3 linked regions of the Notamacropus eugenii genome follow. The protein of the gene in region 3 interacts with the protein of the main gene of each other region in a biochemical or structural test. Links are inferred from orthologs where the notes say so. Each region holds a gene or a part of one and is shown on either strand. Other genes may lie near its edges.

Region 1 (10,051 bases), on a different chromosome or scaffold from region 3:
TTCCTCTAAGCTTTCCCTGAAAAATTCTGTTGAAAGTGATCATTCCCTTCTTTGACTTCCTTTAGAGCTTTGTACTCTAATGTATAGCCCTTCATCGTATTCTACTTTGTATTGCAGTTTCTTGTGTAGACTTCTCATCGCAATTACTAAATTACATAGTAACTGAGAAACAAGGACCATGCCATTTGTTTTTAAAATTCTGGATATCATCAAGCAAAGTGCCCTTGTAGGTATGCAATTAATAATTGTTTACTTTAATCAATGACTAAATTAACAAGTTTGTTTTATGCTTAATTGTTGTTTTTCCAGTCAAAAATATCCTTTACTCAACATATATCTATAAAAGGACCAAAACCAAATAAAATTATTTTCTACAATCTGATGATATGTCCCATTCATTAAAAACTCAAGGTGGCTATATGACCTTATTCCTTTATAACAGAAATATGATTATTTGTAACCTTATAAATTGTCCTTACCTGTTACTTCCTCAGTGTGGGTGGATAGCAGTTTCCAGATAAGGTAAGGACCCCCCAGGATAACAGCAAAGAATAAGAATATTGGCCAAGATTTTGCTGAGTTAGCTGCTCTGTCTTCAGGGCCAAGGCAAGCCACAGTACCTTCACTTTCTGCCCATAAATCCTCATTCTCAGAGCCTCTTCTTAAACCCATCATCTGCTGCAACCGTCTGTAGAGATATCGTATAGTCCTAACTAATGCAAAAGCTGAAAACACTTTTGTGAAATGTATTTTCAATCGGGAAAAATGATTGGCTACATCCAAAACGGCTCTGAAACTGTTATAGACAGCTGAAAAGGTGGCATCCATCATCATACTGACAGAAGCAAATGCATGCACAATACTTTCAATGGACTGAAATGCACCTCTGCTGCTTTCTTCAGCTTGTTGGACAAATCTGCTGGGAGGAAGATCATCCATACGGAATCGGTTATATCCTAACCCCCCATATCCATAACTGTAAGGATTGTAGCTTCCATAAAATGAATTTCCATATGCTCCATAACCAGAAGAAAAGGAAGTGTAAGCAGGTCTAAAAGTGTTCAGATTGCTGTTTCCTGTCTGCTGTGATGGCCTTGGAAGAATTGGTGGGGGTACTCTTGTAAGAGTTGGTTGCCCAGGCCTTGTCAATAAAGTAGGACCCAAATCAGCAGATCTAAAGAAAGAAAATTTTAGAGATTCAGGATCCATATCCATATGACAAGGATAATCACTCAAGCACTAAAATTCAATTCAGTAATTATTTATTAAGTTCCTAATATGCACTTAAGTTGAGATACATGATAAGAAATATAAAAATGCTTACTAAGTTATTTCAAGTTGTATGTGTACTTTCTCCATTTCTTTATAGGTCTTTTTGAATTGCTTTGCGTTATGTGCCTGTTAGTCAAACTTTCCAGAAGAGCCCTCCCCACCCTCCGCTAGCTTCCATACTCAGAAAACAGGGGTAAAAAAAATTTCCTGTTCACCTCATAAGCTTGTGAAAATCAAATGAGATTCATTCTTTCATTTAAACATTTATTTCAGGTCTATAATATGTAGAGCCCTGTGTTAGACACTAAAGGAGAAACAAAGTTTATATAAAACAGTATCTGCTTTCACAGCATGAAGGAACTTTGTAAACTCTAAAACCATTTAAACACATTTAAACCATTAAAAGGAATAGTTCTTGTCCTCTAATACTTGACAGTTGCATTGGGGACACAAGATACAGAAAATAAAAATACAAGATGGCATATATGATTAAATACCAAGGTGAAGAGTATAAACAAAATAGGGAGTTCTGAAAAGTCTAATCCTATCATGCTTCCCCTCAAAAAAATTTAGGGTCTCCTTACTCACTACTCAGGAAAGTTCAAACTCTTTGTTAGGTTAAGTTCCATACAACATGATGCTACTCTGTTGTTCCAGCCTTATCTCATATTCTAATCCCCTATAGGGTAGCTAAACTCAGCCCCCATATACCTTACTGTTCTTTCCAGCCTCTGTTCCTATGCCTAGAACTTTCCCACACAATGCACTTATGTGATATTGCACATTATAGATAAGTTTGTGTAATATCCCTTTATTAGACAGTAAGCTCCATGAGACCAGGGGCTGTGGCTTCTCTAAACTGTATTTTTCCAGTGTCTAGCAAAGTGCTCTGCCTACAGTAATATGAACTAAAGATTAAATAAAAGTAAAAGGAGAGAGGCTATCTGGCATCAATTCTTCCTCTCCCTCCTCTACTCACTGCAAGTCCCTGTTATTGATATTCTCAGAACTGCTGGACAAAGGGCTCCTACAAACCAATCTACAAAGCAACAAGAACCGTTTTAAGCATTGATTTGAAACCCACAAGCAAACAAAAAGTACTGCAAAAACAAAACATTTAGATCTGCTTTACATAACTAGAAACAAGATCTATAAAATTAAACTTTTCCTATTTACGTTGTATCTACTATTATTAACAATGATCAATGTACCCAAAAGATAGGGATATTTATTATGTGAACAATCCCCGATCTTGTTTTCATGCAAAGCTTGATGAGCATCTACAGAAGCAATTCGGCAGCAACATATTCTAGCGCTGTTGTGTTTCTTCAATGATTGATCAAAATTTGATATTTTGTCTCCATCTCTGCAGTGAACAAGAAACCATCGGGAGGGGAGAATAATAATACACAGTAGAGGAGAGTAAGTCTTAAAATGACTCTTCCAAAATCCAGAGCCAAATATTAGGGGAACTTGGCAAGACAAGAACAAAATCATTCCAATATACATTTATTAAATGTCTAAAAAAAACCCCACCTTTTACTGAGGCCTCCTGTAGTTAAATGCTTTTACTATATACTGGGCGCCCCAACCACTCTATTATTGAGTTAGTAGCGGAAAGCAATGCCCTCAAGGATTGGAGAAAGGGAAACTGGGAGATTCATTTTTATTCCTTGAATACTGAGGCTTCAGGAAAGAGGTTCCCCCTCCCCCCATACATACGGGGTGTGTGCGTACGTACACGTGTACACACACACACACACACACACACACACACACACTCTCTCTCTCTCTCTCTCTCTCTCTCTCTCTCATCAGAAGCTCAGAGGTACAGACAGCCTGATGCCCCCTGCTCTCCTTTCACCCTCCCACCCTTCTGGTGCACACCCTCATCATCTCGGCCTGAACCACCGCTATAACCTGCCCCAAGTCTCTTCCCACTTTAATCCATTCCCTATTCTTTCTGCCACTAAATTCATTTTCCTAAGACTCAAGTCAGATCCTGTCAACTCGCCCCCGCCTCCCCCAAGCTCCAATGGCTTCCTATAGATCTCCAGGACAACAAGATGTCCTCGCCTAGACCCCTTCTTCCAGTCTTTTTATACCTCGATCCCGTGACGCCGACCTCCCGACCCAGCTCTGACCACTTTCTCCGGCTGCCCCGCTGCCTAGGTTACGCTCCCTCCTCAGCTCTCCCCGCCGCCTTCGGCACGGAGCCTTCCCCGAGCCCTCGGTCCGTCCGTCATCTCCCCTGGGTCCTGGGGTCGGCTTCTGCCGGCCGCTGGGCAGGGGCTGCCTTTCCCCGTGTCGTCAGCGCCCAGTCCGGCGCCTGGCCCTCACAGCAGGCTACTAACAAACGCCGCTCGCCCGCAGAAGCTGCCCGGGGCCCGGGCCCCGGCCCGGCCCTCCACCCCCGGCCTCGGCCGCTCCGGAGGCCTCGGCGAGGAGGGGGCCAAACCCAACGATCCTAACTGCCGCTACCCGTCACCTCAGCCTCCCCGACAGCATGAGCCAAAGGCCCTCACACTTACTGGAAAGAGGGGCCGGGCCCGGGTCCTGTTCCTGCCCCCGGGATCCTCCGAGTCTCCCAAGGCTTCGGCGGAGGCGGCGGCTGAGACGCCATCTCCAAAAGCTCGGCTCGGCTCTCGCTCGGCTCGGCGGCGGCTCCAGCCGGGGTCACAGGAGCGTCCCGCGCCCGCAGACCCGACGAGGAGAGCGACGAATCATTCACTTCGCTAACCTTTCCCCGCCCCCTCACCGGGCCGAGGGTTCGCCTTTCCAGGAGCAAGGGCAAGCCGTCTACCCGGCGGAGGCTCTATTGGGTGACCCGCAACCACATTCTGTGGAACACAGCTCGGGCTCCCCTCTTTCCTTCCCTGTGTACCGGGGGAAGTTCCCGAGGTAGGGGACGGGCTTATCGATGTTTTCTTTTGCTGCTACGGAGTCCTGGAGACCGTTGTTTTCCCACCTCTCTAGACACAAGTCAATATTCCACCGCGGCCGCGGGACAAGATGATGCCCCCGGACCTAGTCCTTCCGAGTGCAGCCGGTGGGAGCTCACGCAAGTCTCCGCAAGCCGTGGGGCGGGGCAGGGCCGGGCAGGGCCGGAGATGGCGTGGAGGAAAGGCGGTACCTCGATGCTGCGGAGCGCGTTTCCTCCGGGGACGGCATTGCGCGTGGCACCGAGTGTCTTCTTTTCACGTCCCCATTCCCTCGGAGGAACGCAAGGGGTTAAGCTGGGCTGCCGCCGTCGCTACTGCTGGAGAGAGGCTCCCAGGGAGCGAGCGCGGGAGAAGCCGGGCGAAGGGACCGGGGCCGGAGAGAGACTGGCCCTGACGTGCACGCGGGGAACAGGCGTGCGAGGCGGCGCGGGGCCGGAGCCTGGACCCGGCCCGGGGGACGCCAGCGAACTTTCCCAGCGGCTGGAGGCGTGGGGGTTAGCGCGCCGGAATCTGCGGGTGGCCCGAGGAAGTCTGCGAGGGGGAGGCCGACCTGCGGGAGGCCGCTTTAGGTCTTCCTGGTGGTGGGTATCCTCCCGGCGGCGCCACGTGCCTTCCTCTGCCCCCCTCCCCCTTTACTCCTTTTAAGTATTTTCGTGTACTTTACTGTATAAGGGGTGATCCAAGAAGTCCTAGAGGTGGGGGGTGGAGGGAAGTAGCACCTCCTGGAGTTGGAGGGGAAAGCCCTTCTGCAGTTGGTGCATGTGGGAGGTGTGCTGCCAGAAGTTCAGAACTTTGGGGAAAAAAATAGAAAGAAAAGGCCATGAGACTCAGGTCATCGGGCATCCCCTTGTAGTGGACTGAACCCCCACCGGATTGGGGAGTCAAAAGATTGGTCTTTATGTTAGCGGTGATGTTGGAATCTGTTGGGTTGCTTAAGAGCCGTGTGACTAGGCACAGCTCCCTCAGCTTCTCTCGCTTATCTATTAGATGGGGATCAAGTATTAAAGTTCTTATACTTTATCGAGGTACCGAGGTGACCCTTGGTTCTCATAGGCTGTGCTCACGTAACGCGTGCTTTAGCGAGTCCTATCAAGGTGGAGAGGATTTTAGTAGGGGACCAGCGGTCGTCTGAGGACCAACCAGAGAAGGTCGCAGCATTAATTGTAGACAGCCTTTTCAAGGAGTTAGGGCAGGAGGGATAAAGGATGACAGCAGGGACAGAAGGATTAAGTGAGGGTTTTTTAGGATGGGGATCTATCTGTATGTTTGTAGATAGTAGGGAAGGAGCCACCAGAGAGAGAGATTTAAAAATAAGTGAAAAAGTTGGGATGACAGAGGGCAATCTGTTGGAGGAGTCAGGATGGAATGGGATCACTTGAACAAGGAAAGGAATTAGCTTTGGTAAGGAATAAGAGTAAAGCCAGTTTATTATGGGAAACGAGTGAAAGAGTAAAGAGTGGCAGAAGGCACGTGAGTGATAGAAGATGAAGAAGAGGGAGTTGGGAATGCCCTCAGTTTTTTTCTGTATGATAAGAGGCAAGGTTCTCAGCTTAGAGAGTGGGGGGGAGAGGAAGCCATGGGAGATTTGAGGAGGGATAAAAAGGTTTGGAAGAGCCCCATTGGAGAGTGGGATAGCGTGTTGATAAGGGAGATACAATAGAATTGCCTAGCAGTAGTAAGGGGCTAGCTGAAGCGATGTAACATAAATTTGTAATGGACCTAGTTAGAATGGTCATGTGATTTTTCTCTGCACATGTGCAGAAATGAAGGCTGTGAATGGTGGGAGCCGTCTGAGGCTGAGGGTTGACGGGGCGAAATTGGTAGTATAAGAAGGCTAGGGATTCGCTAGGGATTCAAGAGAGGAGAGCACCGTGGAGTAGAACGGCTTCCCCAAGGAGTCAAGATGAGGAGAGGAGAGGATGGTTAATGCTGGAGAGATGGCCTGGGGAGAAGAGAGGGCTCATGAAGAGTGGGGTTATATGGAGGAAGGCAAGAGGGAGATGGGGTGGGGAAAATCATTAGGTTATGGTCAGCTAAGGGGATTTCAGAGTTTCTGCACATGGAGTTGGTACATTTGTGGGTGTCAGCAAGACCAAGGATAGAATCATCTTTGTGTGTGGCTGAAATGGAGTGGGGGAGTAGCTCATGGGAATTGAGAAGGTTGAGGAACTGTGTATGTTAAAGTCCTCCAGTATGAGGGCAGTTGGGAAGGAGAGAAAAATTGTAAGCCAGGTATCAAACTCATTGAGGAAGGAAAGGGAGTGACCTGGGAGTCTGTAGACAGTAGCTACCAGGATCTTGTTTGGGTAGTAGATATGAATAGCATAGAAGAGAGGAAGGGAGAGAACCCAGAAGTGGCAGTGGGGAGCAAGGTGTATTCGAACCCCCCCCCCCCCCCCCCCCCCCCCCCCCCCCGCCCCGCCCCAACCATGAGCCCAGGATTATAAGTGAAAGTGCAGCTATTACTGTAGAGGGTGGCCAGGGAGTCTGTTTCATCATTGAAGAGCCAGGTTTCAGTAAGGGCTAGTAAATGGTAGGTGTGGGAGAGGAAAAGATTTAAGATGAAGGAAAGTTTGTTGCCTATAAAACAGGCATTCCAAAAGGTACAGTGGAAAGGCTGGGTGGACTTAGGATGAAACTTTCTTGGAAGGTTGGGAAGGATAGAAATGAGGAATTAGATATTAGGGGATGTGGAATGGGTCTTGAATTCAGAGTCCCTGGGGTGTGAAGAGTCTGACCAGGTGTGAGAATGTTTATCACTGAGTGGAGGCACTCCTCCTCTACTATCAAAAGACAGGCATAGCAGGAGATGAGAGGCTTGAAATTAAAGGAAGAGTTGCTTTTTGCACTGAAGGTGTTCCACATTCCTGTTGGGGGATTGGGTTGGAAGCAAGAGGTAGAAAATTCATTGTGCCAGTACAGGCAAAAGTGGTTGCACTGAGGTAGATTGAAGATATCTGGCTTGGCCCCTTGCCTCAGGGGACAAGCTGTGCCAAGCAGGAGATGGAAGACTACCACTGTGGTGCAGACCCTTATCACCTCATACCTGCACTATTTCTATAACCTGCTAATGGATCTGCCTGCCTTAGGCTTCTCCCTGTTCCAGTCCATCCTCCATTCAGCCACCAGTGATCTTCCTAAAACCATAGATCTGATCATGGCACTATGCAATAAACTCCAGGTGCTTCCTATTGCCTCCAGGAGCAAATACAAAATGCTCTGTTTGGCATTGAAAACTGCTCATAACCCAGCCTCTTCCTACCTTTCCTGTCTTCTTACACCTTATTCCCCAAGAGATACTTTTTGATCACTGTCCTTCTGGCTGTTACATGGTTACGTGAACAAGACACTTCATCTTGTAGCCCCAGGCATTTTCTCTGTCTCCCATGCCCACAGTACTCTGTTCTCATCCAGGCCTCCTGGCTAAATTGGCTTCCTTTAAATTTCAACTGAAATCCTACTTTCTACAGAACTCCTTCCCCAATTCCTCTTAATTACAATGCTTTCCCTCTGTTAATTATTTCCTATTTATCCTGTATGTACCATATTTGTATGTATTTGCTTGTTGTCACTCCAATTAGAATGTGAACTTCTTAAGGGTAGGGATTGTCTTTTGTCTCTTTGTATTTCTAGGGCTTAGCATAGTGCCTGTCACATGTGCTTAATAAATGTTTATTCATTGACTGACTTATCCATGGTTAGTGAACAGGGTTAGCTGGATGAAGATCAAGCAAGGGGTTTCAAGGTATGAGAATTTGCTAACTAAAAAACTAAAAATTTGCCAAATCTAGAGAAAGTAGCTCATTTTTTGCTCCTTTTCATTAGCAGTGGGAAACTTTATTGTCTAGGTGATGTTCCATTTTTCTGAATAAGATATTTTTTTTTCTATGCATGTTCTTCCAAATCATAAGAAGTGTTAGTTTGACTGACCTTTTGAGGGAAAGAGCACTGCATCTGGCATCAGAAGACCCATGTTTGAATCCTGGCTCCACCACAGACTGCTTGACTGTGGCTGTTTGTCACTTAACCCTCCTGGGCCTCAGTTTCCTTTGTTGTAAAATGAGTGGGTTGCATTAGGTGATTTCCCAGTTTTCTTCCAACTTTTCAAATTTTAGTTCTATGTTACAGATCACTAAGCTACCACTAGGTATTTTATATTCAGATTATTGAGGATAGGGATTTAAACGGTCTTTGATTTCATTGATAGTGAACTCCCAAATGAAAAAACTTCCACTAAATGCAGGTTGGCACTTTGCAGTTTATAGTCTTAGTTTCATAGAGCACCAAGGGGCTAAATGATTTGTGAGTGAATTGGGCCAAGAACTGAATAGGGGAAAGAATGTGAGCTTCATGCCTGCCCCCTGATAAAAAGACCTGTCTTTTTTAACACACATAACTATTGGCAATGATTGAGATTCTCAAAATTTTACTAGCTAATCCACAAGCCAATAAAGAGGTGTGCAGCTTTCTAGTGATGAACTGTACACAAGAAGTAGAAAAATGCTATCATCATATGTATGCTTAGGAAAGAAATTGGCTTGGTTATGTGACAAGAGTGAAGGAAAGAGATTCGTAGCCCTCATGTTTCATGGGTACCTAGGAAACTCGAGAAGACCTAGAGGAAGGCTCTTGACATCTTGGTTGGAATCTCTGTGGATAATCTATTAAAGAGCATGGATGAGAGTTTCATAGCATGAGAAAGTATAGATGGGATTTGTTTTCTACAGATGGAAGGAATGCCCATTTGAAGAGATCAGTGTTATGAGAAATTTTTGATTGTTATGAGAGATTTTGATTTCCTGTTATTAATTTTTATTTGGGGTTCAGGACTTTTTCTCCTGGTAAGGAAATTATTGAGCTGGCTGAAACCTGTTACATTCCTGAGATAAGAAGGGAGTTTGAGCTTCCTTTAACTTGCTTTAATTGTGGAAGGATCTTCCTGGCTCCCTTTGGTTATCTTTGTGACATATAAATCTGCCCCTCTGAAACATTTGTAAGCTCTAAATTTTGGAAAGAATTTTTAATATGTAACTAAGTCTGTTTGGCTAGGTCTGCTAAGAGCATGGAAGATTGCAGTATGTCAAATATTATATAGTATTTCTGATGTAATTTTTCTCTATAAAAGCTTTGTCAGAAACCCCATCTGGATTATTTTTTCTGAGACTGAATCAGAAATCTATGTAGAAACAGAAGTAATTAAGTTGTTATTAGAATTGAATCAATTTTGCATATATTGTAGAAACTGATGGATATGCCTTTCTTAAAATCCTTCCCTGACCAAGTTTTCTTTCATAGCTAATGACTATTAAATTGATATACCTAATAAATTCCTTTGTAGGTTTGAATCTGTTAATTAATTTATTAAACATATATTACCATTATTCCCTGTCCCATTCTCTGTTCCAGTTAAACTGTTCCTTATATGATGCTCTACCTCCCATCTTTGTGCCTTTGAACTGGTCATCCTCTGTGCTTGTAATTGACCCACTTTTCACCTTTGTTTCAGAGAACCCCTTGCTATCTTCAGGACTCAATTCATGTACCCCTTTTTTTTCTCTTTTCTTTTTCTTTTTGCATTTCAGTAGTTTTATTGAAAGGTGTGGCACCAATGCAATATGCACAGCACCCACGGCAGCCGTGAACATCGCATTGCAATTCAGAATCGTGAAATACCACAGACTTTACGTGTGGAAGGCAGAACCAAAACATTCACTCAGACCCAAATCCATCACACAACAAAAATCTATACACAATAATAATGCACCATCCCCAATCTTTCCCCCTCCTAGGCTTTCCACAAACCAGGTCCATTACACTCATCACAAGCAGGCTCTCTT
Region 2 (10,725 bases), on a different chromosome or scaffold from region 3:
GTAGAATGCTGGTCCTGGAGTCAGAAAGAGCTGAATTCAAATTCAACTTCAAACACTTACTAGTTGTGTAACCCTAAGCAAGTCACTTAAAAGAGATAAACCCAGTCACATGCAAGTTCCTTGAGAGTAGGTATTCTTTCATTTATAGCACTCCATTAGGGATTCACAGTTTCCTCATCAGTAAAATAAGAGAGGTGAACTATGCTTTCCAGGGTCCTTTCCAGCTCAAAATCTTCTCCCTTGTAATGCCATTCATCCAACAGTAGCCTACATTTCTCTAAAGTCACTTTCCTACCCAGTCTTGGTCAATCTGGAACTCCCCCCAAGACAGAATTGGTTTATTTACCAATCCTCTCAGCCATGTTCACTATCCGCTGTCCCCAGATGCCATTCACTCCTACCAGGATAGAGTCCCCTGGTTCAACGAGGTTGAACATGGCAGCTTCCATAGCTGTGTGTCCAGAGCCACTGAGGGCCAGGGTGAGCTGGTTCTGGGTTTGGAATGCGTACCGGATGCCATCTTTGATGTCATCCATGATCTGAAGTAAAAGACAAAAGGCAATGACCACCAGCTGGGAATTATGCTGATCAGGACATTTTTATTTGAACAGAGGGTTCTCAAAGACAAATGTTTATTAAATGTCCCCCATATACAAGGCACCATGCTAGACAGAGAAGTCAATACAGATACAACCTCTAGGGAAGGATTCAAATACCCTCTCTCCATCTTTCTCTTCTTTTCTCTCTGTCCACGTCTACCTCACTCTTTCTGTTTTGGCCTCTGTCTTCCTTTATTCATTTCCTCCTCCTTCTCTGTCTATCTCTGTTTCTCTCCACCCTCCTTGACTTCTCTCTCCTCTCTGGGAGGGAGAAGTCCTACCCACAAGGAGACAAGGGAAAACACATGATATAAGGGCCACCACAGCCCATGAGATCATCGATCTAGAGTTTCGAAGAGCTTCCAGCCACCTCTAGACTAACCTCCTCATGAAGAAATTGAGGTTCAGAGAGATTAAATGATTTCCCCAAGGACACACAGATAGTAAGAGAGATCCAACAGAACTCTGATCAGAAATTGAAGGAGGCAAAGACAAGTATGGTAAAATAGAGATTTAGAGTTAGGAGATGAGTTCAAATTCTGGCTTTGAGATTAATTAGATGTATGTCCATGGACAAGCAACTTAATGTCTCTGAGTCTCAGTTTTCCCAGTCATAAAATGGGCACATTAATATTTATATTCCTTTCCTACCAGAATTGTTGTGAAGGAGCTGGGAAAAATAACAGACTATCTCATGGAAGCATACAGAGCCAACATTATGCCGTGGTGGAATTTGTACCAAAGTCCTTTCTGCCTTCATTTTATTATGATGATGATGAGGAGGCTGATTCTATTAATAAATAATGGAATCACAGTTCTCCATAATCCCTCCTTCTGTCCTTATTTCACTCTACTTCCTTTTATGTATTCTGAATTCAAAAGAGACTGAACTGTTCTTGACCTCCTTTCTTATCTTTTTTGGCATCTCCGTTTGACAACAATTTGGTAAAATGAAGAGGCCACTGAGTTCAAATTCTGCCTTAGACACATAATAGCTGTGTGATACCCTGGGCAAATTCCTTAATCTATCAGCCTCAGTTTCCATCTAGTTATGTGCTCCTTCCTCCCCCTCAAATCACTCTGGTCAGTGGCTAAAGAATTTGAACTTTTCTAAAGACAGTTCTTAAGTTGGACAAATAGCTGGTTTCTTTGTTTCTTAGAACTGTAAGCAAGGATTTCATATTGACAATGGAGTTGTTTTTACCTATTTTCGGCTGGTGACTTTGGAACAAGCAAGTGTGAAAGGGATTGTATACCCAGAAAGGATTTTAATGTGGAAAATATGTGATCTTAGCCAAGTCACTTTGCTTCTGGACTTCAGTTTCCTCATCTGTAAAATGAAAGCATTGACCTGGATGGAGTCAAAGGTCCCTTCCAGCTCTGAATCGGTAAATATGGTAGAGTAAGAAAAGCCTGGCTCTGATGCATACTACCTGTGTGACCTTAGGCAAATCAATTAATGTCTCTGGACCTCAATTTGTTAATTGGTCAAATGGGGCACTAGATAGCCTCTAAGGTCCCTTCTAACTCTGATTTTAGGAGCCTCTAACCATAAACACCCCTAAGCTCCTGGTCAAGGTGTAGTGGAAAGAACAATAGATTTGGGTGAATTCCCAACTATTAATGACTCACATTACGAACTCTCTTGCTTTGGGTTCCTATTTACACCTCTGGAAGATGAAGAGATTGGACTTTAAAGGTTAACTCTAAATCATATGAACTAAGGCAAAGAACTAAGCATGACCAGAAAGTTACAGGGCTATCTTCAGTTTCCTGAGAAATGGAGAGAGAGAGATAAACAGAAGAGAGTCAGGAACGAGACCCTGAAAGGCAAAAGCCAAAGCTAGTGTCCTTTTTGGCCCTTCTGGAGAGATGCAATCAGAGGGAGGCTGGGCAACTCTCAACTATTTCTCCAAGGTCATTAAGTATTTACTAGATGGAACACCCTATATTAGAAGGAATCCAATTTAATTCAATTCGACAGACATTTATTAAGTAACTGGAAGTAACCTGAGAGATCATCTAGTCTGGCCCTTCTAATTTACAAATGAGAAAACTGAGGTCCAGAGAGGGGAAGTAGGTTGTGCCAGGTCATTATATTTAGCTATTGACAGAGGCAAGATTAGGACCCAGGCTTCTTGAAATATCTTTTTGCAACTGTTATTTCATTTTACAGAATTGTAGAATCTCTGAGTTAGAAGAGACCTCAGAGGTCTTTTGGTTTAACCCTTCATGCTCACCACCACCACTAAAGTCGCCACCACCCTCACCACCACCACCACCGCCACCACAAGTATCAATTATTCTTCATAACTGACCTTTCCTTTCCCATCCCTGTGCCTCTCATATTTATCCCTCATGCCTGAAATACATTCTTTCTCATCTGTGTCTCTTATGATCCCAAGTTTATTAAAAACTCACCTCAAGTGTTACTTTCTACATGAGTCCTGATCTCCAAACTGCTCGGCCTCCCCCAACAATCCCCTTGAATCTGTTTTGTGGCTGTATGTGTATACCTGTGCATATTGTCTCTCTTGAAGGAATGTTAGCCCTTCAAAGAAAGGGACTGCTTTATTTTGGGCATTATATCTTCAGCACGCCAAAGTAGGTGAATAATACACTCACTGATTAATTGATTTGTATCCCCAGCACCTAGGACAGTTTCTGCCACAAAGGATTTAATAAGGCTTTTTGAATAATTGACCAAAATAGTTGACATTCATATACAACTTTAAGGTTTGCAAAGCACTTTATGTACAGACAGCCCTACATCTAAAATGCCGTGATTCCATGATCTCTAGACCTCATTTTACTCCTCTGTAGATGAGGGTGTTGGATTTTCTGCTCTCTTGTTTCTCCTGGCTCTAGGCTCCTGTGAAACTTCAACAAGAGGTTCATAGCATACGGTTTTGTTTTATTTCATTTACACATATATGACTAGTCACTCCCACAAACAACACTGGGCTAGAAGCACTCCAGGTACTGTTCTCTCCATTTTAAAGATGAGAAAACTGAGGCCTAATAATGCCAAGTTACTCACACAGATAGTAAATGCCAGAGCTAGGACTCAAAGCCACTTCTCTCCTGCCTCCAGGTCCAACATGACCTCAGACTCCAACTATCTGCTATCCTGAAGTTGAAACGCATTTCTAGAGAGAGTTTTGGAGAAGGATGTCAAAGCCAATTTTCCCGTCACTTACCTGATACATTTCATCATGCATGTGTCCAATAACTTGGTGGCCCCCTGCAAGCATGACCCGAGAAGAAATATTGGAAGGTCCAGGTCCCAACAGAAGTCTGTCTGGGATGCTCAGGGGCTTTCTCAGGGAAGCTGGAGGAGCCACAATCAATGAGTGACTGGCCATGGCCTGATTCTGTGCAGGTGTCAGGACAGGGACGTGTGACTGGACCCAACCTGCTGCCTGGGAAGCCAAGTACACAGTGCGTGGGATGAACCTGTGTATTTCCCAGCAGTGCTTAAAAGCACTGATTGATTTGCTGTTTGCAACAGGTCAACAGGTCTTTTATCAACAAAGAAACAAGAATCAATAGGTTCTGTCTCTGTAAACCTGGAGTAAGCTCTCTCTCATTCTCTCTCTCTCTCTCTCTCTCTCTCTCTCTCTCTCTCTCTCTCTCTCTCTCTCTCTCTCTCTCTCTCTCTCTCTCCTCCCTCATTCCCTCCCCCGTCTCTCTGTCTCTGTATCTCTCGGTTTCTGTCTTTGTCTCTCTGCGTCTTTCTCTCCCTCTCTCCCTTCTTCCCTCTCTCCTTCCCCTCTTCTTTCTTGCTTCTTCCCCCAAACTTCACCTGGTCCTACTTGTTGCAACGACAGGACCTAACTTTTAAAGGCTACTGAGTCCTGTTTTTTTAGGGTTGAAGGGGGTTCCCTTGCCCCCTTCAGGATCAATAAAACAGTCTGATCTAAGCCCTCTGTTATTACCTCCCTTTTCTATGATTTTCTTGTTCTTGATCTTTTGGTTAAAAAAAAACCAAACAAACCTCTTAATCTACTAAAGTTTCTTAATGAAAGCCAATGGCATCTGATCTCTAATTATCACCCTCCACCCCTGCTCAACTGCTTCTTTAAAGGAGTGGGCACTTCTCATCTCTCCCTCCCTTTCTCCCCACCCCACGTTCCCTTAGACATTGAACTCTGAGCCTCTGGCTCTTGGAGGGGCCAGATTTCATGGACTTGTTCAGACTCTTTGTCTCTGTTTAGAAAAAAAGAAAACAACACGAAAACTGAAGCAGAAACCCCTATATGAGAATTCAAAAAGAAAAGAAAATCATGAGATAAAATAAATGTGAGTTGGATACTAGGCCATGATGTTGATAGGACTTCATGAGTTTTATGAAATGGTTGGGTCCATTTCCAGGACAGCATGGTGTCCCTGTCAGTTTCTTGGACTCCCAGGTAAGGTGCTAGTGCCCAAGGCTCAGCTCTGCCCCCACTAAGCTCTGCAACCCAGGGCAAGCCCCCTAAGCCTTCCGTGCTTCAGGTTAATAATTTGTAAAATGGGGATGATGCCCAATAGACATTGAAGGCTGATCAGGAGCAAAGTGCTTTAGAAGTCCCAAACTACTCTTAGTCAACAAACATTTACTAAGCACTTATTAAGTTCCAAACCTTGTTTTCCCAGCTGAAACAGCCCCTGCTTTCTGGGGCAGCTATAAAAGCATCAACTATTAGTCTCTCATTTAAGCTTCAGAATAACACCATGAAAGTCACAGAAACCTGGAAAGGATCTGAGAGAACATAGTTCAACTGTTTCATTTTACAGAAGAGTAAACTGAGATCCAAGTAACATAGGGTCATATAACTAGAGCTGGGAGGATATCACAGCTTACTTGCTCCAACCCTTGTTTTATAAGTGGGGAAGCTGAGGCCAAGGTAGGGTAAATGACTTGCCTAGAGTCACATAGGGAGTAAGCATGAGAGACAGAATTTGAACCCCCTAGTCCTTTGAATCCAGAACCAGGACTTTTACTGTGTGTTCTTCTCTGTGGAACATGTCTCTGTACTGCCAGTAATATTTCTCACTCCAGTATAAACATTTCTTACAATGAACAATCTCTTGTGACCGCAGACTTTTCATTAATAGATGAGCACTCTAAGAGATTCAATTATTTGGAAGGTGTGGTTATGACACATGTTGATCCTAGGAGGATTCTGTGACTGCAGAACGTCCCACATGGCCATGGAAAAGGGCTAAAAGTAAGGCTTTAGCAAGGAGTTGAAGCAGGAATCTTTCTGGAGGGGATACAAGAGGAAGGGTATTAGATTTTGCATCAGAGGACTAGCATTCAAGTCTTAGCTCTCCCTCTCACTAACTGAACAGCTGACATAATTTCTTATTTTGGGGCTTTTATCTTCCTCATCTGTAAGGTGAGGGAATCAGTCTGCATGATCTTTAATATTCTTTCCAGTTCTGAATCGATGGTCCAGTTTCCTTGCACTTATGGTTGTAAAGGCCAAGGCCTTCATCTTTAAAGTTCTAACATCGTTGGGGAACAGAACAAAGAAAGGCCTTAGAAAAATAATGAATTCAATAATTACTGAGCCTGCAAATAACGAATGAACATGAAATGAAGATAGAGTCAAACCGTCTATTTGAAAATTGATATTCCCTCATAGTCTTGCAAGATAACATGGTCCATGTCTCTTTCACGTCCATCCCAGAATGAAGGAAGCAAGGAGAGAAGAAGGGAGGAAGGGAGAGAAGAAGGGAGGAAGGGAGAGAAGAGAAGAAAGTGGGAAGTGAGGAAGGAAAGAAGGAAAGGAGGAAGAGACAGAGGGAGGGAGAGAAAGGAAAAAGAAAGGAAAGGAGGAAGTGAAGGAGAAAGGAAGGAAGGGAAAGAATAAGAAAGGAAAGAAGGGAGAGAGGGAGGGAGAACAGGAGACAAGAAAAGATGAAAAAAACATTTATTTAGCATTTTTATTTGACATTTCCTGTGCAAAGCATTATTCTAAGCCCTAGGAATAAACTAATGGAAAGGCAGACAGAAGCTGCTCTCAAGGAGTTCCCATTTATTAGAGGGAGATCACACAGAAAAATACAGAAGGTCAGTTAGAAGGGCTTTCAGAGGTCAATCAGTCTGAGCTCTGTCCAAAACAGAATCCCTTCTACAGTAGAAAAGGGATTGTGGGTGATTACCTAGAAATGAAGTCACACACCTTCATTCAACCTGGCTAACTTTCTTTTCTTCTTTTTTAATTGAATCAGTAGAATAACAGATCAGGGATCTATAGATCATCAATAGAACATAGTTTACCTAGAGTTTAGTAAAACATCTGATAAATAAACTCATCCTATTCTTGTTGAAAATTTAGAAAGGTATGGGCTAGACAATCTAGCACCCATGATACAATAGTCATCCAGCCTTTACTTAAAGGTATCAAAGCATCCAGGCATGATGGTGCTGGAGGATCTTTTGGCATCAGGAGGTCTGAGCTGCCTAGGGCTAAGTCAATCAGATATTTCCAAAGTCTGGCATAAATATGATGAGCTCCCAGGAATGGGGAGCCAGCAGGCTGCCCAAAGAAGGGTTAAGCAGCCCAGGTTAAAAAACAGTAGATTCAAGCTTCCATGCTGATCAGCAGTGGGGTTAGACACATGAGTGGCCACTGAATTTCCAGCCTAGATGAGACAGGGAGACCTAGCATTGATGACAACGATGAAGATGATGATGATGATGATGGCAATGATTATAGTCCAGAATTAAGGGAACTAGACCATGGCTTCAAAAGTAGAGGAGGCCAGGTGTGGGAAGGCATGCCTGAATTCTCTGCTTTTGAGGATCTTGAGGTGGGGGGGATTTCTTGAGTTCAGGATCTTTCACCAATCGAGGGCTATGAGGTTGCCTACAAGGGGGAAAGTGGCATAGGTTGAATCAATGGAACAGGTCAAAGTTTCTGTGATGATCAGTATTGTGAGTAGCTTTTACACTTTCAACCAGGGTGAGGTAAGGAGACCCAAGCTAAAAAAAAAGTATAGGTGTTATTTGTTCTTTGAATGCTTGATATAATTCATTTGTGAATCCATCTACTTTGGGGGGCCTTTATACATGGAAGACCATTAGTAGTTTGTTTATTTCCTTCTTCTGAAGTTGGTTTATTTAGACTCTTTCCTGTTTTATCCATTGGATATTTCGGTAAATAGCCAAACATTTCTTTTATACTGTCAATTTTTGTTGACATCTAGTTGTGTACAAGAGATTCTGACAGTTTTTAAAATTTCTTCTTGATTTACTTTATTATTTCTATTTTGCCAATTTGATCTTTATAATCTTTTTAAAAATAAAATTTGCTATTGTTTCATCATTTGTGTTGGTCTTCATAAAAACAAACTTAAAAGATGTATCAGTCTAAGCGTTCTTTGAATTCCTATTTTGTTTATTTCTCCTTTTATTTTGTTTTCCATTTTCAGTTTGCTTTTGGCGTATTTGTTTGTTCATTTTCCATCTCTTTCAACTATAAACTAAATTCGTTAGTCTTCTATTTCTCTTTCCTTTTAATGTAAGCATTAAAGGATAGAAATCTGTTGCTGACTATTGCTTTGACTCCATCCTTTCATTTGTCCTTTCCAAGTTTTAGTAATGTAAGTACAAACCAAATAATCTCACAGTCTCTTGGAAATATAGTGGACTGAATTGGACTCAAATCTTCGCTAAAATAAGTGACCTGACAGAGATAGACATTTAGGTTCAGTCCACACAAACAGACTTGAAGTCAGCCGAGAACATGTGCACCAAGAAACAATCTATAGAAACAACTGAGGAGTAAGCTTGGTTGGGTTGGGTTTCAACTCCTTTGCACCAAACAACTAATTTGTGCTTTTGTTTTGTCTTTCTTCGGAGCTCTCTCCTACCCCACCTCATCAGTTTTTAACTGTTTGTTTTGGCACTGAATAGAGAGAACCTCTTCTTGTGCTTTCTCTTACACATGTGTGGATCAGGAGAGACTTTGCAAAGGGCAAACCCACAACTTTAGCAAGCAAGGAGGGTCAAGGCTCTGTCATGGCTTCAGGAATTAAATATCCAAGACCTCCACTAATGCTGACCTGAACACAGCATGGAAAGAAAAGTAAACCCAGAACTTTCCTCTCACTTCTCTCTCACATTAGATATGAAGAGAACTTTGTCTAATTTAGGGACTCCTAAGACATCCATCACATCTTCACAGCTGCAGAGATCAGAGAGAAAGATGACATGATGGAGAGGAAAGATGCTTAGATATGAGGTCTGAGGACCTGGATTGAAATTCTAGTTTTGTTACTACTTGTACTCTTTTCCATGCCTCAGTGTCCTCCTCCATAAATTGAGAGAGCTGACCAGGTCAGATCAGGTCTGCTATGCTCAAGAACCTTCGATGGCTTCCCATTGCCTTTAGTATGAAACAGAGACTCTTTAGCAAGGCATTTAAAGCCCTTCATCATTTTGATCATGCCTTCTACCTTTGTGAGAAATAACTCATTCAGACTCGGGCGGGGTGAAGATAAAAGTTTAGTTTATTACACGACTGCAGTGGCAGGTGTCTCGTAAAATAGATAAACCCTGTAGAAACAAAAACAAGCCTTAAAAACCTATGCCCAACCACAAAGTACCTCCCCTGTCTCCTCATTGGCTGGGTAATTTAGGGTGTACAACTTTCCGATGTACCTATTACATAGTTCCTCTTTATGTGTCCCCCTACTCTGGCAACATGCATTGTATGGCCATTAAAATGAACCCTTAGTCCCTTAGGGGAGAAGTTAATATTCATAATCTTGTTAGGCATTAGCATTCCAATAAGACCTCGATTTTACCTACTTAGTAACTTCTAACCTCAAAACAAGATAAAACCAGTTGGAGCCTGCTTTGCCCATTATCTTCAGTGTGAGACATAACTTCTTTGTTAAGTGTTTCACTTTCCCTCTTCTTCTTCTAGAAGATGATCTAGTACTAATCTATGTTTATAGTGCCTTCGTTCTTAATAGCCAGAGGCAGAGAAATTCTCTTAGACATGTTGATTAGCCTGATGAGTGAAAATGTTTAATCAACATCTCCCACTGCTGTCTTCTGCAATGAATTTATTTTCCTTCATTAGCTGCAAGTCAAAAGACTTTTGGGTATGTATGGATCTCCTAGATTTCTTGCCACATATTACATAATTTCTGTGGAAACAAAAGTTTTAATCATTCCTCACACCTTTGTATTACTACCCTTTGTATACTTCAACACTAACTTAACACAGTAGGCAATTAATGAAAGCTCTTTGGATTGGATTTGATGAGCCTAGTTCATATCTGAGGAATGGTTGGTGACTGATTCCTGTTGGCAGAACAAAGGTAGCAGTGACTTCTAGAATATTTTCTTCATTAACCAGGAAGGGCAGAAGACTGAAAGTAATACCACATGAAGAGTGGATGAAGAAACAAGAGAAACCTAGTTTGGAGAAAAGCGAGTTGTATTCCCAAATTTTTGAAGGAAACTCATACAGAGGAAGAACCAGTCTTGTGCTGCTTAGTCCAAAAGGATAGAAGCCAGAGCAATGGACAGAAATTACTGAAAGACTGACTTAGGTTGGATATCACAAAACATCTCTGCCATTGGAAGTGTCCTCAAGTGGAATGGGTGTTTTGGGCAGGCGACGAGTTGTCCACTTGCATTCTTCAATCACCAGTCAGGATGTCAGAGAGGGGAGTCTGCTTCAGGTATTGGTCAAACTGGATTGCTGATGGAATTGTGTTAACTGTAAACAATGCAGTTGACAATGCAGTTTTATTCAGTACCATTTCTCCCCCTTTCTCCTGTATTTTTCAGTTTATGGAACTGCAGCATCTGAGAACTGGAAGGCACCCCAGTGGTGACCTTGTCCAACCCATCTCTGACTAAGAATCGCTACCACAATATCTCCAAAAAATGAGGGAATTATCCAACATTTCCTTAAAGACGGGCAGAGAGTCCTCTAACTCCTAAAGTTGCCATTCCTACTGTTAAGTAGCTTGAAATGGGTTTCTTTTGCACTCTCTACTCATTGCAATGCCATGGCTGGCTTGCAGTGGAGGTGAGCACATAGAGAGTTACCCAAGAGAGTTTCTAGCACCCTCCTCACTCCCTGAGGAGTCCAAACATTATTACTTCTTGGTA
Region 3 (10,775 bases):
AACAAAATAAGCAAAATTATAACAGGGTGAATAAAGAAATCCATATAGCTACAGCTTTAGGGGGTCAAGTCCTTCGGTAGTGTCCAAGATGTTCAGGAGTCTGGCGAGTACCTCCTATGCATCTCTCAAACAGCTGTGTATGGGTCAAGGCAGGTTGGTGGAGGTATTTCTGGACCGTCACCTCCTGCAGGTTGGCTGCACATATACCCAAAGTCTAAACAAGGTTTTAAAATGAGGTCAACTCAAACTGACTGCACAAATAGCTGACTTTGCACATAAGACATGTATACAGATACCCATAAATGCAATTTAAAAAGTGCTAAGTGCTATAAGTACACAAAATGCTATTCAGAGAAATTAATTCTGGCTGGCCAGGGTTGACAATGGAAGTCAGGAATACCTCTCTCCCTGTCATAGTCCACTAATCAACACTAACCTATGTAAAAGAAAATGGAATATTACTCTGAAATATTAAAATTATGGAATTCTCTATTTGGTTCATCCACTGTCTTTGCAAATTTTTCTTGAATTTATTATCTGTCTGGATGTGGGTATTCTTTTTAATCACTGACCTTTTGGAATTGTGGCTTACCATTGCATTGATCATTGTTGTTAAGTCTTTCAAAGTTAGTTTTCTTTAGAAAGTAGTTATTGTATAAATTGTTCTCTAAGTTCTGCTCACTTCATTTGGTATTAATTCATATAAATCTTCTTAGAAATTTCTGAAACCATCCCTTTTACCATTTCATATGATACAGTAATATTCCATTGCATACACACATATATATATCTGTGTATACAGATATATATACATATACATACATATACGTATGCATGGACGTATGTATATGACCATAATTTGTTCAGCCCAATTGATGGGCATCTCCTCTTTTTTAGTTCTTTGCCACAAAGAACTGCTATAAAAATTTGTATACATATGAGGGTACTTTTATTTTTTCTTTGAACTCTCTGAGAAATATATCCAGTGTTATTTCTGGATAATAATAATAGGTAGCATTTTCTATAAGTACTTTAAGTTTTGCATAACTCTTTAGTTCACAAATACTATTTATTAGTTTACAAATATTATCTCACTTTATTCTCACTATAACCTTGGGATGTAAGTGCTACATGATGTCATTGATCCTTTCCAAGAATGAAGGATGAACAACAACAATCCCCATTTTATAGATGAGGAAGACAGAGGCTAGGTGATTTGTCAAGGGTCATATTTGTTGTTGTACAGTTCTGTCTCACTCTTTGTGACCCCATGGATCATAGTGCACCAGGCCCTTCTATCCTCCATTACCTTTTGAAGTCTGTCCAAGTTCATGCTTCTTGTTTTCATGATACTATCTATCCATCTCATCCTGTGCCATCCCCCTTTTCTTTTGCCTTCAATCTTTCCCAACATCAGGGTCTTTTCCAATGAGTCCTGTCTTCTCATTATATGGCCAAAGTATTTGAGTTTCAGCTTTAGTATTTGACCTTCAAGTGAATAATCTGAATTAATTTCTTTTAAGTATTAACAGATTTGATTGCCTTGTTGTCCAGGGGACTCCCAAAAGTCTTCTCCAGCACCACAATTTGAAAATGTCGATTCTATGGTGCTTACCTTTCTTATAGTCCAGCTCTTACATTCATATGCTACTACTGGAGAAACTACAAGGACCTTTGTCTACATGGTATTTGTCTTTGCTGATGCGGACTTTTGTTGGCAAGGTGATGTGTTTGCTTTTTAGCATGCTGTCCAGATTTGCCATAACATGCTTCCAAGGAGCAAGTATCTTAATTTCACAGCTGTGGTTGCTGTCTGTAGTGATCTCTGACCCTAAGAATATAAAATCTGATTCTTCTTCTTCTTCCTTCTTCTTTTCTTCTTCTTCTCCTCCTTCTCCTTCTTCTCCTCCTCCTCCTTTTTTCTTGTCTCCCTATTTGCCAAGAAATGGTGGGACTAGTTGCCAAGATCTTGTTTTTTTAGATGTTAAGTTTCAAGCCAGCTTTTACACTCTCTTCTTTCTCCCTCATCAAAAAATTTCTTAATTTCTCTTCACTTTCTGCCATCACAGTGGCATTGTCAGCATATCTGAGACTGTTGCTAGTTCTCCCAAAGACCTTAATTTCAGTTTTTGGTTCATCCAGCCTGACATTTCACATATTGTATTACATATAAGGTGATAATATACAAACTTAAACTCCTTTTCCAATCTTAAACCAATCAATTGTTCCACGTTCATGTCTAACTGTTGCTTCTTAGACTGTATACAGATTCCTTAGGAGACAAGGTCCTCTTTGAGGACCTGTCATATTTTGTTGTGATCTGCACAAAGGATTTAGTGTAGTCAATGAAGCAGAAGTTGATGTTTTTCTGGAATTCCCTTGTTTTCTTCATAATCCAGCAACTGTTGGCAATTTGGTCTCTAGTTCCTCTGCCTCTTTGAAAACTATCCTGCTCTTCCAGTAATTCTTTGTTCACCTAGCTTGTAGAATTTTAACTATAACCTTACTGACTAGTGACATGAGTGCAGCCCTTCTGTAATTTGGCATTGTCGTTTTTTAGGATTGGGATGTAAGCTGATCTTTTTCAATCCAGAGACCACTATCCTGTTTCCCAAATTTGCTGGCATATCAAGCATAACACTTTAACAGCATCATCTTTTAGTGTTTTAAATAGCTTAGCTGGAATTCCATCACTTTCATTAGCTGTATTGTTGTATTTGACTTCATGCTCCAGGACTCTGACTCTAGATCAGTAATCTCACCATCTTGGTTATTAGCGATGCTAAGATCTTTCTTATATAGTTCTTTCATGTATTCTTTCCACTTCTTAATTTCTTCTGCTTCTATTAAATCTCTACCATTTTTGTCTTTCATCATGCCCATCTGTGTGTGAAATTTTCCCTTGATGTCTCTAATTTTCTTAAAGAGATTTCTTATCCTTCCCAGTCTTGTTTACTTTTATTTCTCTGTATTGTTTCTTATCTCTCCTTGCTATTCTCTGGAATTCTTCATTCAGTTGGGTATATTTTCCTCTTTCTGAAGAGTCATAACCACTAGTTAAATGTCTAAAACAGGACTTTAACTCAAGTCTTCCTGACTCCAGGTCCAGCACTCTATTCACCGTACAATTTTGTGACTTTTGGGGTATATTTCCAAATCTACATATTTCCCTATCTTTTCCCATTGTTCCCCTGATCCCACTCTGATACTGCCTATGAGATTTAGAGCAAATCCTTTATCTTTCTAAGCCTCAATTTCATTATTTGTGAAATGGGGGGATTGTGTTAGGTGGACTCAAGCTCCCTTGCAACTGTAGAGTTATTTCTCTAGCATGTGGAGACATTAGGAATACTTGTTACAGAAATCAAATGAAATTTAATAGGGATGATATAAAATCTTACAGTTGGATTTTTAAAAAATCAACTGCACAAGTACAAGATGGTAGGGGGGATGAAGGTGGACTCTGGTATATGATTAAGGAGTAATAATTCCTGTAAAATTGGCCTAGAGGGTTTAGAAGACTCAAGTCAGTAATTTAACATGGTAGTCAGAAAAGCTAGTAGGGCCTCAGACTACATTAACATAAATATAGTTTCCAGAAAGGGGTCATACAGTGGTCATTTGAAAAAACTAGGGACTTTTAGGAGAGAAAAGCAACTTCACTGGAGGTGGGGGTGGAGTTTGTGTAGCGTAACAGCACATTTGGAAATGTAATGGGTCTTTTTTTTTGGTCCTAGACTAAAAATAGGAGCAACTTGACATGAAGAAAAGCTTTCTAAAAATTAGAGATGAGTAGGATGAGAAGACATGGGTTCTCCATTACTGTAGGTGTCTGAGCAGAATTGTGATGACTATTTATCATTGACATTGTAGAGGGTATTTAGTTCTTCTTAGGCATTGTTGGACTAGATGACCAAGAAAGAACAATGAATTTGGAGAGAATCTGCATTAGAATGCAGACTCAGCTAGTTACCCTCTTTGTGACCTTAGGAAAGTTATCTAAATTCTTTGGCTCTGTTTTCCTCATCTGTAAATGAAGTAGATGGACTAGTTGATCTCTGAGGTGGGCTTTGCTATATCCAGAGTGCCATCTACCACCTTCATCTTCTGAACTCCACTATAGGTTTAGTAAACTCAGACAGACAAAACTCCCAGATACTTTCCTCCCCCCCTTCCCCCCATGAATTTCCCCCCAAAACCACAAGGTTATCTTAGAATATAGGTATATTCTTGATCATTAGGTCCTGTGGGCCTAATTATTGCTATCTTCTGATAGCTGGGGAACATCACTTGTCCATCTTGTGATTTCTTACTCTCCTCCCTTTTCCTTGGTGCCTCTGTTCTGCTCCCTGGAGAGAGCCTAGGTTTGATGGTGGTTGGAGGCCTGATAATAATACAATATTTTTGCTGAGTTTCCCTTACCAAGATTATGGAGATGTCTTAACACATCCATAACCCTTTGCTGCTGGGAACAAAGAGAATAAACCACTAGAAGCCTTAACTGAAAACAAGAAAGCAGCAAAAGATAAAGTGGGCCAAGGGAAGAAAGAAGGCAATATTGCAGCATGAGAGAGAACTAAGGCTGACACTATTGCCCTGAGGCTCACAGGATTTCTAGGGGGGCTAATAGACCTTAGACATCATCTAGTCCAGAGGTTAACCTTTTTTAGTGTGTGTCATGGACCCCTTTCCCCTTGCTTGGAATGCTCTCCCTTCTCATCTCTGCCACCCGGTATCCTTCAAATCTCAGCTAAAACCCCACCTCTAGAAACCAGCCTTTCTTGGTTCTCCTTAATGCTAGTGGTGTCCTCTCTCTGAAATTACCTCCAACTTAACTTACCCTGTACCTATCTGAAGAAAAAATTTTGTATTTTTCAGAGATCAAAAATCCACCTTCTCCTTCTCAACTTGGAAAATTAAAAACAAAGCCCTCGTAACAAGTCTGCAGTGTAGCAAAACAAATAAACCATTGGCCGGTCCCCCAAAGTGTCTCAATCTGCATCCTTGTAAATATCTCCTACGTACATATCATCTCACTCATTATAATGGGAGCAAGGCACTGTGGGTAACAACTGGGGTTTGGCCCTTCTTTGTCCCAGCCTTGTGATTCCGAGCAAGTGGCTCAATCTGTCTCCCTCGGTGTTCTCATCTGCAGATTATCCGATAAAAGCACACACACAGCATCAGAAGAGGAAACACGTGGCAACTCCTCAATCTGTAAAGTGCTCGTCATTATTAATAATAATCATCTCCAGCCCCCGGCACTGTGCTTGGGAGCACAGCAGCCAGTTGCAGGTGGTGCCCGGATATTTCCGACGCTGCCTGTGTGACCCTGGGCAAGTCCTTTGATTCCTGTGTTTTCAGTTGCTGCGGCTGTACGATGAGGATGAGAACAGTACTAACCTCTTAGGAACCTCAGCTGAGAAAACGTAGGCAAAGGGCTACATAAAGGCACTCCGGGGCAGTTAGGTGGTGCGGGTTCCCCGCCTCATTTCACGCCAGTCCCAGGTGTAGGATCCCGGGGGTGTGGGCTGGTGAGGTCCCCACTCAAGCTGACCACTCAGCAGCATCTCAAGCATAAACCACAAGCCCTTTATGACTCTTGCACAAGCAGACCGGAGGAGGGGAAGCGTTCTGCAGAAGCAGAGGCCGGGTTAGGTAGCGGAAGAGCACCAAGACCCCTCAGCCTTTTGGCCAAGAGCCTCAGCCAGCAGTCTCTATTTCAGAAGTAGGGAATGGGAGTCAGGGAAACCGGAGGCAGGGGCGAGGGCCGGTTTCACAGCTTCAAGTGTCCCCACGTCATAGCCTGTCTGCTTCACTTTAGCCTTGGGTCCCCACACTCTCGGCCAAGGCACTTCAGTCTGCCTCGGTTTCTTCCACCGTCAAACCGCTCGAGCCCCCCGCGCTGTTGCCAGGGTCCAGTGCTAGAAACCTAGGGGCTCCCTTCTCAGAAGGTTGTTTAAACGCATGAAAGGAAATAAACATGAGTGCAAAGGAGACTGACTGCTTGAAAATATAGTCATCGATGGAAAAAAAAAAGTCCGTGGACGGCGGGGTGAGAAGCCCCGCTGTGAGTGCAGGCACATGTTTTACAGAGGAGGAGACTGAGGCCCGGCCCGAGGCCCGCCCATGCGGCGCTCCGGGGCGTTCAGGGCCGATCTCCGCTCCCGGGAAGGCCAGAGGGTTGGCACAGACGGCCTCGCCAGTCGGGGTGGAGGAAGTCCGGGATCCTGCCCAGCAGTCCGCGGGGCGGAGGCGCCCAAGGCCTGTTTCGCAGCACAGGCCGTAACTAACGCTAAGCGCAGGGAAGGGCGGGCGCTGATACCGGAAGGCCTATGCTCGCAGGGCGGGGAGTGGGGGGAGAAGGGGGAACGGGTCTCCGCTCCGCGGGCCGAGGCCTCCCCTTTAAGGGGCCGCCCCCTTTAAGAAACCGGCCTTGTCCGCGCCCACTCCGCGGCCCCTTTAAGCGCGCGCCCCGCGGGGCCCCGCCCCTTCCTCCCCACCCCCCCCCTTCTTACTCCGAGCTTGGTTCCTTTAAGCGCGCGCCCGCTTGGGGGACCGCGCGCCCGCTTGGGGGACCCCGCCCCTCCTCCTCCTCTTCCCCCTAGCCCGCTCCTCTTTCCACCCTCGGCCGGCTCCCGCCCCCGCCCCCGCCCCCGCCCCGCAGCCGCACCCCCGCGCCCGCCCCGCAGCCGCACCCCCGCGCCCGGAGCAGGTCTGGCGGCCGGCGCGTGGAGGTGAGCGCGGGGGGCCGAGGGGAGCCCGCTCCAGCCCTTTCCCTGTCCTCGCGGGACCCCGGGGGCGGGGCTGGAGCCGGGGGCGGAGGCAGGAGGGGGGGCCCCCTCGTGGCAGACCGCGGGACAGGGGAGCGAGACCAGGTGGGGGTACCACGGGCGGAGGGGGCGGGGGAGGAGCAGGCTGGGGTCCCGGTCCAGCCCCAGGGCTCCCAGCCTGCCCTGCCTCGGCGATGTCCCGGGCTTGGTGTCCCCCGGGCTCTGGAGCCTTCCGGGGATATAACGGGGCCTGCTGACCTCTGTCCTCTGACCCCCGACCAGCCCCCCGCGAGCTGCGGATGGGGCGCTCCCCTCCGCCCCGGTCCCCGAGCCTGGGCAGCACCGCCTTCCCAGGGTGGGAGGGCGGGTGGAGGCTGTGGGGAGAGAGCAGGTCCCCCAGCTTGCTATGATACAGAGAGGATCTCCCTTTTCTCCCCACCACCCTAGGGCTGGAGTTGGGGTAGGGGTCCCCTCCGAGGACCGTGCTGAGCGGAGAACGCGGGGCTGCCCGCCACAAGGCCTGCGGTCATCATGGCAATGCGGGAGTTGGTGGAGGCAGAGTGCGGTGGGGCTAACCCCCTCATGAAGCTGGCAGGTCACTTCACCCAGGACAAAGCCTTGCAGCAGGAAGGGCTGCACCCTGGCCCCTGGCCCCCGGGAGCCCCAGCCCCCGAAGCGGTGAGTCTTCGGGAAGGGGGCACGGGAGGGAGGGGAGGCGGAATGTGGGCACCCCTCTGACCGCCCCCTCTTGCCTCTCTCCTAGGTCTCCAAACCTCTGGGAGTGGCTTCCGAAAATGAGGTAAACATGCACGTCTCCTTCCTGCTACCTCTTCTCTTGTCTCCTTGCCCCAGTGGGAAGAGCGCTGGAGTTACAGGACCTGAGTTCAGATTCTGTCTTTGCCACTTACTACCTTTGTGACCTTGGGCCTCTGGGCCCGCTGTCCTCAGCTGCAAATGAGGGATTTGGAGTAGGTGACCTCTGAGATCCTTTGTGACTCTCAAGCTGTCATTCTGTGATACCTTGTTGCCTCTAAGTCTCATTCCCCTTCTTTTCCTTCCCTGGCCTGACGTGCTTTGGCTCCCTCTCTTATCCTTTTGCATGCTTCTCACTGGAGTTTCCCGTTTTCTTTGTTTCTGTAGTTTCCACGTTCTTTTCTCTCACCTGTGGTCTTTGTATGCTCTAGTTTGCAGGCTTCTCTGTCTTCCCAATCAAGTTTTCCTATTGCTTCTTAATGGTGTCTTTCCTGACAGTTGGTGGCTGAATTCCTTCAGGACCAGAATGTCCCACTTGTGTCCCGGGCTCCCCAGACCTTCAAGATGGATGATTTGTTGGCAGAAATGCAAGAAATTGAACAGTCTAGCTTCCGCCAGGCTCCCCAGAGAGGTAGATCCATGGCCCAGTGGGAGGGAAGATGGCCAATTTTTGTGCCATTTTGGGAGACCCCTTACTAAGGGCTGGTCATTGGCAAGAAGACTTGGAGGTAACGGAAGAGACAGGATGTGGTACTATCAGTTGAACTCAACTTGAGTTGCTGAGCTTTGTTTTTGTTTTTTGATTTTTTTTTTCATTTTTTATTCATCTCTTTCTCTTAGCCCCAGGTGTGGCTGACCTGGCACTATCTGAGAACTGGGCTGAAGAGTTCCTGGCAGCTGGAGATGCAGTGGACGTAGCTCAGGATTACAATGAGGCTGACTGGTCTCAGGAATTCATAACTGAAGTTACAGGTGAGGCTTTAAATGAGGGAGTCTGTAACCCCCTTCAATGAAGCAGTCAGATTCATTTCTCCTCCCTTTTCTCCCCATTCCTCCCCAATCAGGATATAATGCAGTTTCAACAACTTGATCCTTAGGTCCACTGGCTCAATTTTATAGGCAGATGGGCCTTTGACTTCCATGTAGGCCAGGGGTTCTTAAGCTGTTCTTAAGGTTCTTAACCTTAACAGACCCTGGACTGTGTTTTTTTAAAAAATACTTTGATAACTGTATTTTAAAAAATAATTTTAAAATAGAGTTTAATTACTTTCATTTTTTCAATTAACAAGCTTTTAAAAAAATCAATCTGTCTCTCCTAACACTGTCGCTACATTGATTAAAAAAATTTTAAAGCCCTCAATACATAGCCTACATAGTCCAGCAAAGCAAATTGCTACATTTACCATGCCCAAAAAGGTATGTCATACTGTGCCATCTTAAGTTCATCACTTCTGTATTGGTGAATAGCTTCTTCATCCACATTCTTTGGAACTAATCTTTTATCATTGCATTGACCTTTCAAAATTGTTTTTCTTTATGGTGTTATTTAATAAATTATTCTATTTCTGCTCATCTCACTCAACATTAGTTCACAGCGTCTTCCCAGTTTCTTCTGAAAGTGTTAGTTTCATCATTTCTTATGGCACCGTAATATTTCATTCATTCATATCCCATAATTTGTTTAGCCATTCCTCAATAGGAGGATACCCCCTTAGTTTTCAATTTGTGGATATCATAAGATCTGCCCTTTTTTTAAAAAAAAAAATCGTTTTGTTGGGGTTTAGGCCTAGTAACGGTATAGCCTGGTCAAAGGGCATGCACAGTTTGGTAACTTTCTGGGCATAATTCCAAATTGCTTTCCAGAACAGTTGGACCAATTCACAGCTCAAGCAACAGGGTAAAAAGTACAAAAAGTATACTTTTTCCCAGAGCCCTTCTAACATTTGTCATTTTACTCTTTTGTCATCGTTATTAGTCTTACAGGTATGAGGGAATCTCAGAAGTACTTTAATTTACATTAAATTCTTAGGGACTTAGAGCATTTCTTCATATAATTGTTGGGAACTTGGGTTTCTTTTTGAAATTTCCTGTTCATATCCTTTGACCATTTATGTAATGGGAAATGGCTGTTAGTCTTACAAACTTGAATCAATTTCTTATGTATCTTGGATATGAGACCTTTATCAGAGAAACTTGCTGCAGAGATTTTTTTCCCCCACTTACATATTTCCTTTCTACATTAGATATGTTTATGTAAAAAACTTTTTAATTTTACTTAATCAAAATTGTCCATTTTATCTTGTGTGATCCTCTTTAATACTTATTTCATTCATGAACTCTTGCCCATAGATCCTTGCTCCTCTAATTTGTTTATGATGTGACTTTTTATATCTAGGTCAGGTTTCTGTATGGAGCATATCTTGGTGTTTGGTGTGCAGTGTTGGTCTAAACCTAATTTCTACCAAGCTTCTGTCCAGTTTTCCCAGCAGTTTTTGTCAAATAGTGAGTTCTTCTCCCAACAGTTGGGGTCTTTGGGTTTATCAGTGTACTACTGTGTTTGTTTGCTTCTTTATGTTGTGTGTCTAATCTGTCCCACTGATAGACCTCTCTCCTTTTTTTTTGACCAGTACAAAATCTTTCTAATGATTACTGCTTTATAGTAGTTTGAAATCTGATACTGATGACCCCATCCCCAACCTTCCCACTTTTTTTCATTTATTTGAGATGATTGCATTTTTGTTCTTCCATATGAATTTCATTATTATTTTAATGAAATATTCTATGAAATGTAAAATATTCTAATAGGTCTATAAATATTCTTTTGAGAATTTGAGTAGTACAAAAAATGAATTTAGATAGTATTTTCATTTTTATCATGTTGCTTTGACCTACTCATGAGCAATTAATGTTTCTCCAATTATTTAGGTCTGTCATTATTTCTGTAAAGAGTATTTTATAGTTAGGATAACTATTTTAAAGAGACATGTATGTTATGCATTTAAAAACATTATCCTAAGAAGGGGTTTATAAGCTTGCCAGAAGAGTACATGGCACAAAAAAGGTTAAGAATCTTTGATTTATATGATGGCAGGGAAGTGAAACTGGTTTTGGACCAAGAAAACTGGTTTGTATTGGTGTCTGATAAGGTAATGATTCATTGCTCTTTGGGGGTCAACCATAAACTAGGGTTGTAGAGAGCTAGATATTGGTCACCATTCTAGAACCTCATCACTGTAGTCTTCTCACACA

What was found. The genes of interacting proteins can lie anywhere in the genome.
Region 1: the proteins of PEX5 (region 3) and PEX13 form a complex in vitro, tested with the Homo sapiens proteins (3 studies listed by BioGRID). The link is inferred for Notamacropus eugenii from reciprocal best matches to the Homo sapiens genes PEX5 and PEX13.
Region 2: the proteins of PEX5 (region 3) and AGXT are reported together in a solved structure, tested with the Homo sapiens proteins (2 studies listed by BioGRID and IntAct, with this or other methods). The link is inferred for Notamacropus eugenii from reciprocal best matches to the Homo sapiens genes PEX5 and AGXT.

What each region holds. Positions count from the first base shown.
Region 1 is NC_092872.1:643,856,004-643,866,054, forward strand, and holds the start of PEX13 (peroxisome biogenesis factor 13), read right to left. Parts: upstream 4,083-10,051; 5' UTR 3,896-4,082; coding exon 3,804-3,895; intron 1,175-3,803; coding exon 480-1,174; intron 1-479. UniProt on the Homo sapiens protein: Component of the PEX13-PEX14 docking complex, a translocon channel that specifically mediates the import of peroxisomal cargo proteins bound to PEX5 receptor.
Region 2 is NC_092877.1:377,647,185-377,657,909, reverse strand, and holds the start of AGXT (alanine--glyoxylate aminotransferase), read right to left. Parts: upstream 4,083-10,725; 5' UTR 3,965-4,082; coding exon 3,800-3,964; intron 540-3,799; coding exon 347-539; intron 1-346. UniProt on the Homo sapiens protein: Peroxisomal aminotransferase that catalyzes the transamination of glyoxylate to glycine and contributes to the glyoxylate detoxification.
Region 3 is NC_092874.1:195,639,755-195,650,529, forward strand, and holds the start of PEX5 (peroxisomal biogenesis factor 5), read left to right. Parts: upstream 1-6,637; 5' UTR 6,638-6,737; intron 6,738-7,220; 5' UTR 7,221-7,304; coding exon 7,305-7,451; intron 7,452-7,536; coding exon 7,537-7,572; intron 7,573-8,024; coding exon 8,025-8,157; intron 8,158-8,366; coding exon 8,367-8,498; intron 8,499-10,775.